2 linked regions of the Drosophila melanogaster genome follow. The protein of the gene in region 2 interacts with the protein of the main gene of each other region in a pairwise test. Each region holds a gene or a part of one and is shown on either strand. Other genes may lie near its edges.

Region 1 (4,816 bases), on a different chromosome or scaffold from region 2:
TGTGTTTGTCTTGGTGCCTTTTTTGTATTCAGCCACCCGAGTGTTGTAAAAAATCGTAATTACAAAGTTAATGTTCTTTGGTGAAAGGATTAAATTGCTAGTTTGTCCAGGGATATCGGAGTTGGGGCAATTGGAAAAGTAAGTGCCATGGGAACTCGTCCAATGCCACAGGATACGTAGGGGTTCTCCGTATATTCTGAATACGAAAAATCCGACAGCCTGCTTGTGGTAATGGTACGATTAATTGGTATTGATTGCAGTCAGCATTAACGAAGGGAAAATCAGTTAAAGCGACTCAAAAGATAAACATTCTATACTCAGATACATTAGAAATGCACAGCTTTCAAAAGCAATTCAAGTGAAAGACGTATTATAGCAGGAGTGCAGCCGTAATAGAGGAACCTACCTTTGCAGGACTTGTCGTGTAGTTCGCGATCATCCTCGAGCAGCGTCTGGAACTTGTGCTGCAGATTGGAGGCCGCCTCCTGCACCGTCCTGGCCTCATCGTCCTTGGGCAGCAGGGTCTGCAGGTAGGCGTACATGTCGCCCTGCTGGATGCGGATGCGCTTCTTCTCCAGATGCCGCACGAACTGGGCCTCGCTGGGCGTCAGGAAGAGCACGGCTCTGCCCTTTCGGCCCGCTCGAGCCGTTCGACCCACGCGGTGAACAAAATCGGCGGTGGTTTGCGGCGGCGTGTACTGCACCACCAGTTTTATGTCGGGAACATCGATGCCACGACCCACCACATCGGTGGCCAGCAGGACGCAGCTGGCGCAATCGCGGAAGCCACGAAAAACGCCCTGCCGTTCCGTCTGCGTCATGGAGCCATGTAGTCTGTGGAAGAAACAAGCACTTAGGAGGTGCAATTCATTACAAAACATCAAAGCAACTCACTTGAAGAAGCGCAGACCCTGCAGTAAAGGTATGTCGCCGTCGTCATCCGAATCACCTTTCTCCTGCTCGTCCTCCTCGTCGAGAACTCGCCTGGTCAACGCCTCGTTGAGCATGTCGTGATGGAAGTTCACCATCTCCGTGGTGCTCATGAACACAATCGCCTTGAACTGCTTGGGACTGGCGTCCACTTCCTTGGCCAGCAGCGAAGACAGTGCCACCAGACGTAGTTTTGGCGGCACCACCACATAGCTGAGCTGCAGGTTCTCGGGAATACTCAGCACACCCGTCACATCCTCCTGGTACTCGCCCAGTCCGTCGTCCACCTCTAGCAAGGCTTCTATGGTCTCCTTTTGGTAGCCATCCTTGCTCTTCAGCGCCGCACTCGCCGCCTCGTCGCTGTTGTCTATGTACAGGGGATTCTTGAGGGTCAAACCGGCCAGCTGTTGGACCTGCGAAGTCAAAGTGGCACTCAGCAGCATCCTTTGCAGCTGGGGAAGCTCCTTGTCCTCGCACTCCGCACGCTGCTTGTCAATGGCCTCCACCAACTGCTTGACATCGCGTTCGTAGCCCAGCTCCAGCAGGCGATCTGCTTCGTCCAGTATGAGGAACTGCAGTTTGGTCAGCTTGAAGGAGGCCGTGTGCAGCAGGTGATCCACCAGACGACCAGGTGTGCCTATCAGTATGTTGATGCCCTTTCTTAGCCTGGCCTTTTCGCTTTTCCTGCTCTCGCCACCCAGCAAAGAACCGGGCACTATCCATGTGTACGGCTTGACCAGCTTCTGGATGAGTTCGTATGTCTGCATCACCAGCTCCCTGGTGGGTACAATCACCAGGGCCAGCACGCCATCCTTTCGCTGTATCCGTGGCTGCTGTTTCTGCAACAGTTCCACCAAGGGTAGAGCATATGCCAGGGTCTTTCCCGAGCCCGTCTGCGAACGTACGAGCACATCCTTGCCCTGGAGAACTTCGGGAATGGTCTTCTGCTGCACGCTAGTTAGCTCTCGAATGCTAAGCAGATCCTCCAAGTTCTTTACAGCATGAGGATGCAGTCCCAACGTGGATATTTTAGAGCCTGTAAAGATGGTCTCCTTGACGGGCTTCACCGCTCTTTGGCCCAGTTGCTTGAGTGCCTCCACGTCGCTTTGGTCGAAGAGGCCGATCTTCTTGGTGCGAAAACGGTTTGTGGACGAGGTTTCCTCGGCTTTCGGTGGTTTCTTCGCGGTTTGTTTGGGTTCCTTTTCTTGTCCAGGAGATTGTGCACTGGATTCATCTGGTTCCTCATCGGATGTTGCAGATTCTTCGCCGGATTCGCCGGAATCCTCAATATCTGATGACTTTTTGGACTCCTTAACGGCTGAACTCGGTTTTACCCTCGGAGATCCCCCTCCTGAGTTGTTCTTCGCATCCTCCTCATCGGCGCTGGCTTCCTGATCCCCTCCTCCCTCTTCACGACGCTTTTGCCGCCTCTCCTCCTCCAGTTGAGCGCGGAAAAGGTCACCGGGCGTGGGTAATTGATTTGGATTTTTTGGCTTTTTGTTGCTCTTCAGCGCCCGCGTGATCTGCTCTTCGCTGAGCTTCGTCAGTGGCTTGCCCTGCCTCTGTTTCTTGCCCAATCTTTCGGCTCGTGTGATTTTTGGCTTGGCTTTCTGGGCAACCACCGGCTTTGTGGTCACATTTAGCATGAAATCGTCGCCTAAAACGCTCTTAACAGGTGGTTTCGTTGGGCTAACATTGAACATAAGATCATCGTTGGATGCATTTGCTTTGGGGGATGCTGAAAGAGTGGAAATTGCGGATTTGCTGGAGGAAACTGAAGGCGTCGGCGATTTCGTGGTATTGGGAACTGATGAATTTGTAGGTTCAACTTTCGAAGGAGGCGCCCTTCTTCGCACAACGATTGCCTTGACTTTGGGCTTGTCCACATTGAATTGAAAGTCGAAATCCTGGGATTTCTGTGCACGTTTTTTAACCGAAAGCGCGGGCGACTGCTGAAATCAAATATACAATATATAAACACCACTTGAATAACATAGACATAGCCACTAACCTGTTGATTTTTCCGAGCCGACGACTTTACAGTAACATTCAGTGATATATTTTCCACCATTTTGGCACAATTGATGCTCGCAACCAAAGAAGAATCGCGAAACTTTTGTAAATAATAACGAATTGAATAAAACGTGCGTGGCTCTTCTTCTTCGTTTGCCACTCACAGCGAAAAGGTATGGTTACATCTGTTAGCGCGCCAGTGCTACCCATAGAAAAGCACATAGCGCTGCCAGATGAGGAAAAAAAGAAGCATAAGCGCTAAATTCAAATTGCACAATATATCGTTTAAACATCTTTAGTTGAATTTGGCAAAACACAAGAGCCCGTTATATTTAATATTGTATATTAATATATTTCGTATTTGGCAAATTCAGTAACATGTTTGTATTTTAAAGTAACTTTCTCTAAATATAATATGCTTACAACGAGTTTCGCACGCGACATTTGACGACGACCAACAAAAAAAAAAAAAAATAGTTTCACGCATTCAACTGCCTTGGGCAGCGAAGCGCATGGGGTTCCGTAGTAATTGTGGTTTTTGGTGGGTGGTGCTGGGTGGAATGGGCTGGTGGTTCTGTGGTCTGGCGGCTGGGTGGCCCTGGTGGTTTACATACGTGGGTGTCTGCTCTCCTTCGTTTTTCACATCCATGTGGGCATGTCAGCCCCAGCTGCGGGCACAGATGTCGACCACAGACCAATGCATGACGGTGACGGCTGCCTGTGATCCTGCTGGCGATGGTGATACTCCCCCGGGACTGGCCTCAGGAACCCCGACAGCGCTCTGCGATTTGCCAGCTCCCTCCTCCATGCCCATGACCTCATCCCGGGTATGCCCCTGCTGCTCCGTCGTTTGGCAGGCCGCGTACAACAACTATGCGGTCACGTAGTACTCCCGCTGCCTCTTCTGGCACTTCTCGCGCGCAATGTAGCACAAGGCGATCGTGATCAGGAGCACTATGGTCACGCCCATGCCGATGCTTACCCACATGATCTCCTCGTTGATGCCCACATAGGAGCGTCCTGGAGAAAACATAACATAACATACAATAAATCAATGTTAGGGGAATAATCCACATACAGAACCCACCATTGTAGTAGTGATTGGAGTAGCCGGCCTTGCCAGCCACTCGACCCGCTGGCATTTTGCGAAAAGTTCGGGTCAAGTAATAAATAAATGTGCGCGCCCTTTATTTATGTTTGGCTACTTGGCTCGCTGGCCAGCAAAGTTTCAACGGGCTATTTGTTGCTATTGCAGCTGGTTGGGATATTTTATTGGGTTTCTCCTTCTGTTCTTCAATTTCTTTGCCCTTGTTTAATTGGAATTTATGTGTGCAGGCGCACTCTTCGCTTCTCAAGGTCTTTCGGTGGCGCCAGCAGGACCTGAAATTAGCGAAGAGAAAACAAAATTAGAGTAAAATCATTGCTGAAGTTGATATTTTGTCGCGTTTTGAGTGCCATTCAAATTTGCGCGGGCTGTAGTGTTTTGCAGCACTGCTCTGCCCGTTTTACATCACTGCTGAGAAAGAGAAAGAGCACTGCTGTCAGCTGTTTTTAAGTAAATAAACATATTAGTTTTCGACGATTTGATTGTTGCTTATTTGTGGAGTTTCAGGTCAAAATTAATTGTTGGAAATTGTAAGATGGATAGTTTGGAGTCTAAGGAACTGGCAAGCATCAGCAAAGTGATGGAAAACAATGATAAAGCGAGCGAAAATGACAAAATCACCGGCATTACCACCGAAGAAGAAGAAGAAGTTGTTCCCGTGAAGAAGAAGAGAACTGAAGAGGGAGGGGGTGAGCTTAAGGAGGTAGCATGCGAGAAAGAGACAGTGCAACGCGAAAAGTGCCAAGACAAGAACACCTGTAGATGCTG
Region 2 (8,203 bases):
GCTGAGATGTGAATCTTTGTGAATGTGAATCTAACAGATACAAACGGTCGCAGATGTATATAAGTGGGGGAGCAGCGAGTTCATTTAAATGACCTGGGACACACCTTCTTTTTTCTTTTGGCTCACTTTCATGCAAATCAATTAGCTTTCGGTTGATCAGTTGATTACGAGTTATGGTAGATCACTTTATCAGCAGCAGACTGGTGAGATAACATTTTGTCAGTGATTCACGTACTTAAAAACTGATATTAAACCAGCTTATGGTTGTGGCCCAATTCTCGTGTGAATCCTTTTTATTTCCATCCAGCAAAAGTCCCCCAAACTCATTAATTATGCTCAGCACGCCTTTCAGTCGCTTAAAATGCAGAATTCCAAATTAGCACAGCAATTGAACGAAGGAAGTTACTACTTTTTATTGAACGCTTAGAATAGGAAAATCCGCAATTTTTATGGTCAATCAACAGTGAATGCAACAAGCGTTGAAGTTGTTCAATTGCCGACAATTATTTTTATGAAAGCAACTTATTTTATTAGCGCTTTTAATGATTTACTTGTTCAAATAAAAATAAAATTTAATTGATTACAAATCTCCTGACTATTACACAGATTGTTATTACTATTAATAATTATTTCCATTTACAATGAAAAATCAGTTCTTAATTCTTGAACTCACAAAGTAATTGCTGAATTGGTCAGTCTGTCATATTTCTGCTATTAAAATCAAATTGATAAAAATGCAAATGGTAATGATGGCAATCGACAGCTCCAAAGTGTTAGCCCGCATCGCAATTTGGATTTACTGGCGTTGATTCTTGTACGAAACACTCATGATTCGCTAATTAAAAATCGATTAATTGGATCGAACATTAGTGTTTGATTGTGCCAGGGCTTTCTTTAAGTATTAAATCAATCAACTGATTAACCTTGGCACTGCAAACAATGATCAACTTCAGACTTTCCTACAAAGTAGTTATGAAGTCCAATTGATTCCGACTGTGCATCAAGTTCGACTGCATTCGAAGGCAGTAGATACATAGTTATTGAGTAATGATTGCACTAAAAGTCAGGGGACAAGCGCCTTAACTGCAAATTTTCACACTGACTTCGTAATGGGAAGCACAACATGACGGCTGGCATATGTTAGCAAATGCAATCCCTCTCACAAATCCACTGATATGTATGAACACCGATCTGCCCAACTGACAACTACAAATTGCAGCGACTGCGATCCTCGATCGATTTGAAATTCCAATTTTAATGCGATTTTACTTTCGCACGAGTACTAACAACCTACTACTAACAATTGCGAAGTTAATGCTACAATAGCCACTACTCTTGGCCATAAACTCGACCATTTTTAGAAGCTTTGCTAGCTATTAAATTCTAATACCAGTTCATGTGGAATAGTAAAATCCGAATAGTGCGGAAATAATATAGGCTGTGCACTTAAATCCAACATTTGCTTCAGAATTTTAAATATTTACATACCTTAATAAACTTTATCAATACTAATACATAATAATTCTCAGTTTCAGTTTCATTGTATAGCTAAGAGGGACGCACTTTTTCCTAGATTTCCCTAAAAGTACTACCATATCACTTAATTACTAGTATTGTTTGTTAGCTCCTGCTTAAAAGGAGGACTAATTTAAATCATCTTTCCACCTACGCGTAAGCAGTGGCCATCTCACCTTCCCCAATCCGCTGTGAGCTGTGTGTGTCACTCGAGGGATTTCCAAATGGTCTGGTTGGCAGAAAAGTAGTAATCAAAGTGTACAATTCGCCTGCCAATTAGTGAGTGAGGGGACGGCGGGGAATTTCATTTCATTCCATTTCATTTCCTACGTCACCGCTCGGCGGTCCGCTAAAAAATGGCGAGCCAAGTAAAGCGGTACCAATGCTAATCCGGCGTCCACACACTGAGCGCCCGCATATGGGTATGTGTGGTATGCTGCGAGCGGTAATTGCAGGGGCTGTAAGAGCAGGAACTGGTTTTTTTTTTTCAGTCATTCTTCGCCAGCCGAATGCGACTGCGCTGCCGGCGGCGACTGCGGCAGCGGCGGATCGGTCGGATATATAAGATAGTCGGGGGCTGGGATTCTGATTAGTCTGCGAGCGCCGTTTACAAGTACATAGCACGTTGAGTTTCCCGAGTGCGTTGCAAGTTTTTTGGGTGCCCCCCAAAATCAAAGTGAAACGCTAAGTGAAGTGACCAGAAAAAGAAGTTTAAAGCTGGTAGACTCACTCTCTCATAGTTGAAAATATAGAAGGAAAATCAAATTCAAGAAAAACGTGCTTAGTGTGAAACGGCCACAGATAAACATTTGAAAAAGGAAATCAAGAACCTGTTCAAAAAATCCAGTGTCAGAATTTGTTATTACCCACGGTACGTATTACGTGATTATCAAGTATTTATTTAGATTCGGCAAACTCGCTTTCCCGAAATTAATGTGCAAATTGACTTGACATGCATGCTGAGGAGCAGTTAACAAAATATTTCTCGCGTTATTTAATGGCCGAATTAAGTTCCTTCGTATATAACGAAACTTACTTCACATCCGACAGAAATTACATAAAATTCATTAAGCTGAGAATATTACAAAAAAGCAGAACGACGAAAAATGTAATTAGTTTCAAGCATAAATTAATGGATTCAACAAATTGTTTTCACCTCGCTTCACTCGACGTCGACATTTTTGTGGGCTAAGGTTTTCGTTGTCACAATGGCCAAACAATTATGACTTTAAGGAAGTCCTCAAATCGTTGTTAGTTCCAAACTAAAGTTTTTTAAGTAGCAGGATTTCTAATACTTCGATTTGAAAGGCGCGATTAGAAGACCAGTTTTTCTAACGAAATCGTTTTGAGGAAGTAAACGAGTTCTAAACTCAAGAAGGAAACTGGATTCGCCTAACGGCTCGTTCCTTGGGAATGCACTCCAAATGCAAAAGGCAACCAGAATTCGAGGCGCGGCGAGGTCAGAAGAGGCATTGCATTAGTTCAGTGATTAACGAAGCTCTTAAACTCGGACTTAAGACCTTCTTTTCTCAGAATACCAAATTGTTTTCTCAGCGTTTAGCGCCTGACTACAAACCACCATCGACATACTAAAGGCTGGCATAAGTAACCAGCAAATGACATTTAATTTGTCTTGGAGCGCTTAGTAAAACGCTTGTTATTAAGAGCGGCCAACGCGGCGTATACTTATTGACGGTAGCCAGCAGTGATGGATTTATAATTGCAATTGAGTCATTGGCCAAAGCGATCGGCTATTAATTATGTTAAGTATGTGCTAAACGAGTGTCGCATATCGTTTACAAGTGCTTTTTATGGTGCACAATTTGCATTCGCCGACTTGAACTTGGCTCGTTAATGAGCTCGCCAACTGATTCCCCCATTGACGTAAGGCACTTGGCCGAGATCGTTAGTTTTGACCGTTTGCTGGTCTTGAGTGCGGTTTTGTTCTTTTCCAAATACTCGTACAATACGAGCTTGTCATCCAATTGACTCACAATCGGAAATACTGCGGAAAACGGCAGCGGCGGTGGGGAAAACAGAGAAAAAAACCCAGCACAGACAAAAAAACAGATCACACTCACCGGGACGACCCCCAACAAAGCCGTGCAGATGCAATGGTGGGGCACCGCAGCACCGCTTAAATTAGACGCTTTTTACTCAATTAGGCAAATCAGTGCCGGCAGAAAAAAGACATAATAATACATTCAATCAATGAACAGTAGTGGACTTCAGCATAGAGCCCTGTTGTGTTTTGATTCCAACGACCGCCTCCCACTGCGGTTCGACAAATTAATTAGCCACACTCTTCGGAATTACTACCAGCGGAAACATTTGCGATACTAGATAAACCACGCGACCTTAGGCAATGTTGTTGATCCGCCAAGTGCAACAGCCAACACAGCCACTGGCAAACGGTCTTTCAACCCGGCCAATAATTATGTAAATTACAGATTACATGGCAGGCTGATAATTATGGAACGATTTTCCAAAAGCGCCAGAACCTCCAAGCCCAACTGAAAACGATCTAACGCAAATGCAACCTTGGTCGGAAAATTATTAGCAGCACTCGTCGTACTGCGGCGGTCTTAAATGCTTTTCGATTGCGCTGCTACTAGGTTTTAATGCTGGCTATTTGGTTTGTTTTCGTTGATTTAATGGCAATAGGGGCAAAAGTAATAACACTAAAGCAGCCGCATGGATTTCACCTCATCAACAGAAGCAGCGAAGGTGAACAGAACAGAAGTCGCTGGATGCATTTAATCGATGATGTGAAATGCCAAGAACCAAAGGGGCTCAAGAATGCACTCGAGTGGCGGGACCAAAACAATGGACTGCGTCAGCATTGTATGCAGATAGTATAGTACTAGCTTGCATACTATATATGCTCAAATAAATACACATGTAGTACTATACATATATAGTGGGCAAACATAGTGCAGGTTGTCTATGCAAGTGAACAAACTAATTGGACTCACACGGCGCATACGTAATGGGCGCTTGGGAAATGATTTAAGACTAGCCTTGAATTCGTTACGTATACGCCCCGTAAACCGTTGTAAATTGCTTGGCTGCCAAAAAAATGTATGCCAGTCGAGAATCAGAACCAAGCAAGTCCGAAAACCAGACCCAGAAGCCAGGCGGCGCATTTTCAGCTCTAAAGTTGCGCAATTGAAGTATAACTTGTTTCGAGCTCCCCAGCCGCGATGGTTACAACAAGCTACCACAACCATCTCCACCTCGACATCCACCCTTCACTTAAACTTCCACAACATTTCCTCCTCGGCTGGAGAAGAAGCGGAAGCAAATAAATAATTCATAGCGCACTGCCCCAAAGAAGCTTCCTGACTACCTTGCCTTTCCCAGCGCCAACGCCCGCTCAACTGCTCCACTTCCCCGATCGAAGTCATTCAACGAGGCCTCAAATCTAATGAAATCAAATTTTCAAACCAAATCAGAGATTAACATTTGCTAAGGCCAGGGGTATGGCACGGGTAATTGTCGTTCTTGGGCCTCCAGACGGCAGCTTGTCTTCATGTTTTGGATTAGAGCGCTTGACATTGGAGCCGGGCAGAATCAGATACAGGTAGTAGACCAGAAGTGGTCGGCGCAATGACATTTTTGCTGAGTTTTATAACACGCCAATGGAACTTAACGAGCATGAGCAGCACAAAGACCTCCACCAATCTTCGCCAGCGTTTTATGGCGTCACGTAAAATGGGACAGCGACTGGTGCCTCTGGCAATTGGCTAGCTCCATGCAATTAACGAGTTAGCATGCCGCATTCCGAGCGCTTGTTTAGGCTTTTGGCCAAGTCCAATGTCCGAGATACAACAGTTGAGCCAGCGTAACTCCTTCAAGATGAGGCATTTTATGGAGCTAGGTTATTCAAAACTCGAAAATTATTATTTTTATTTTTAAGGCACATTTTTTTAGGAATAAATACCTGGCAATGTAAACGTGGATTTTCAAAGCCGGAACACATCTCAATTCATAGTGTAAGCCCACATAGATTAAACTGACCGTAATTAGTAACGACAAGCAGGTGGCTATGCTAATGCATTAAGTAATATTTACTAAAGTTAAGGAGCTCTCTAGTCTCCTATTAGACAAACCTGTAATGAAAGTATGACTGATAGGTTAGGGAAAAATATGGTGCTAAGCGAATAGATAAAAATGTCGCCATAATTTAAAATAACATGTGCCTGTTGCTAAGCGTTTAGTCGCAAAGAAGAAAAACTAACTTAACTATTACTGAAAATAAAATGAATGAGTCTTTATACTCCACGCCATTTAGCGAGAAATAAGAATTCCAACTATTTCCATAAGGCTATTCTTAAGTACTGATATAAATAATAAAACATTAATAAAATCGTATTACCCTGAAACCCTTAATTATCAAGTCATTAACATGGAATATCGAATTCCAGTTTACTTGAACTTGCAATCTCTGCAGCTTAAGAGACAGCAATTTAATTGAATAAATATAGCTCAACAGAAGCCATCCGTTTAAGCCAGCTCCCATATTCATACTCATTCATTATAATAGTTTATTGTGCGAGCGCTCCATTAACACGAAGTGTTATAAATATGCATGTATGAATGAATTTAATTGCTACCGCAAGGCAGCAAGGCATTAGCCTGCATTGCATAATACGAGCTGGGAATGATGATGTAACCTAGGGATTCTCCGACTGAGATTCTAAGCCCAAAACTAACAAAGTATTCCCCACAGTTAATATATCTTCAAGATGGGTTCGCTGCCACAATTGTCGATCGTCAAGGGTCTGCAGCAAGACTTCGTGCCTAGAGCTCTGCACCGCATCTTCGAGGAGCAGCAGCTGCGGCATGCCGACAAGGTGGCTCTGATCTATCAGCCCAGCACTACGGGCCAGGGAATGGCGCCCAGTCAGAGCAGCTACCGCCAGATGAACGAGCGTGCGAACCGGGCAGCCCGCCTCCTGGTGGCCGAGACCCACGGCCGGTTCCTGCAGCCAAACAGCGATGGTGACTTCATCGTGGCTGTGTGCATGCAGCCGTCGGAGGGATTGGTCACCACACTGCTGGCCATCTGGAAGGCTGGCGGCGCGTATTTGCCCATCGATCCCAGCTTCCCGGCGAACCGCATTCACCACATACTGCTGGAGGCGAAGCCCACCTTGGTGATTCGCGACGATGACATCGACGCCGGCCGTTTCCAGGGAACTCCCACGTTATCCACCACCGAACTGTATGCCAAATCCCTCCAGCTGGCCGGCTCCAATCTGCTCTCAGAGGAGATGCTGCGCGGTGGCAACGACCACATCGCCATCGTGCTCTACACCTCGGGCAGTACGGGTGTGCCCAAGGGAGTGCGTCTGCCGCACGAGAGCATCCTCAATCGGCTCCAGTGGCAGTGGGCGACCTTTCCGTACACCGCCAACGAGGCGGTGAGCGTTTTCAAGACGGCCCTAACCTTCGTGGACTCGATTGCGGAGCTATGGGGCCCGTTAATGTGTGGCCTGGCCATTCTGGTGGTGCCCAAGGCAGTGACCAAGGATCCCCAGCGATTGGTGGCCCTGTTGGAGCGTTATAAGATCAGGCGTCTCGTACTGGTGCCCACCCTTCTGCGCTCGTTGCTCATGTATCTGAAGATGGAGGGAGGCGGAGCTGCTCAGAAACTGCTGTACAATCTCCAGATTTGGGTCTGCTCCGGAGAACCCCTATCCGTTTCCCTGGCCAGCAGCTTCTTCGACTATTTCGATGAGGGCGTGCACCGGCTGTACAACTTTTACGGATCCACGGAGGTATTGGGCGATGTCACCTACTTTGCGTGCGAGAGCAAGAAGCAACTGAGTTTGTACGATAATGTGCCCATAGGTGAGCCTTAAACTCGGGTTCTAAAATTTCCATGTCGTGTATAACCCATGATCTCTTATCCTGAAGGCATTCCACTGTCGAATACCGTGGTCTATTTGTTGGATGCCGACTATCGTCCGGTGAAGAACGGCGAGATTGGGGAGATCTTTGCTTCGGGTCTCAACTTGGCCGCTGGTTATGTTAACGGACGCGATCCGGAGAGGTTCTTGGAGAATCCTTTAGCTGTGGAGAAGAGTAAGTTGTCCATCTGATATCTTCTGAATACATTTCAAAATGCATTCAAGTTAGTTATTATTACTTAATCCGACTTTACCTCTCCAGAATACGCCCGTTTGTATCGCACTGGAGACTATGGATCCCTGAAGAACGGCAGCATCATGTACGAGGGACGCACCGACTCTCAGGTGAAGATCCGTGGACATCGCGTCGACCTGTCCGAAGTGGAGAAGAACGTGGCCGAGCTGCCGCTGGTGGATAAGGCCATTGTTCTGTGCTACCATGCTGGTCAGGTGGATCAGGCTATTCTGGCCTTCGTCAAGCTGCGCGATGATGCCCCCATGGTCACCGAGATGCAGATGGAGGCTCGTCTCAAGGACAAGCTAGCCGATTACATGACGCCGCAGGTGGTCATCCTGGAGCACGTTCCATTGCTGGTCAACGGCAAGGTGGATCGCCAGGCGCTGCTCAAAACCTATGAGACGGCCAATAACAACGAAGGTGACTCCAGTATCGTTCTGGACTTTGACTACTCGCAGGTTCCTGAGGATCTAAAGCTAACGGCACGGGATCTCTTCGAGACAGTGGGCGGCGTGATTGGACGCTCCACCAGAGC

Evidence for each region.
Region 1: the proteins of e (region 2) and CG8611 interact in a two-hybrid assay, tested with the Drosophila melanogaster proteins (one large-scale study listed by BioGRID).

Annotation. Positions count from the first base shown.
Region 1 is NC_004354.4:17,419,042-17,423,857, forward strand, and holds the start of CG8611 (uncharacterized protein), read right to left. Parts: upstream 3,105-4,816; 5' UTR 3,002-3,104; coding exon 2,942-3,001; intron 2,883-2,941; coding exon 895-2,882; intron 835-894; coding exon 407-834; intron 1-406. Other genes in the region: CG46464 (uncharacterized protein), read right to left, coding at 3,602-3,757; CG12994 (uncharacterized protein), read right to left, coding at 3,815-3,963, 4,031-4,085; ENGase (Endo-beta-N-acetylglucosaminidase), read left to right, coding at 4,584-4,815. UniProt on the Drosophila melanogaster protein: Probable ATP-dependent RNA helicase.
Region 2 is NT_033777.3:21,231,078-21,239,280, reverse strand, and holds the start of e (ebony), read left to right. Parts: upstream 1-2,103; 5' UTR 2,104-2,386; intron 2,387-6,247; 5' UTR 6,248-6,263; coding exon 6,264-7,371; intron 7,372-7,437; coding exon 7,438-7,605; intron 7,606-7,692; coding exon 7,693-8,203. UniProt on the Drosophila melanogaster protein: Nonribosomal peptide synthase which is required for the regulation of histamine and dopamine levels in various tissues through their condensation with beta-alanine.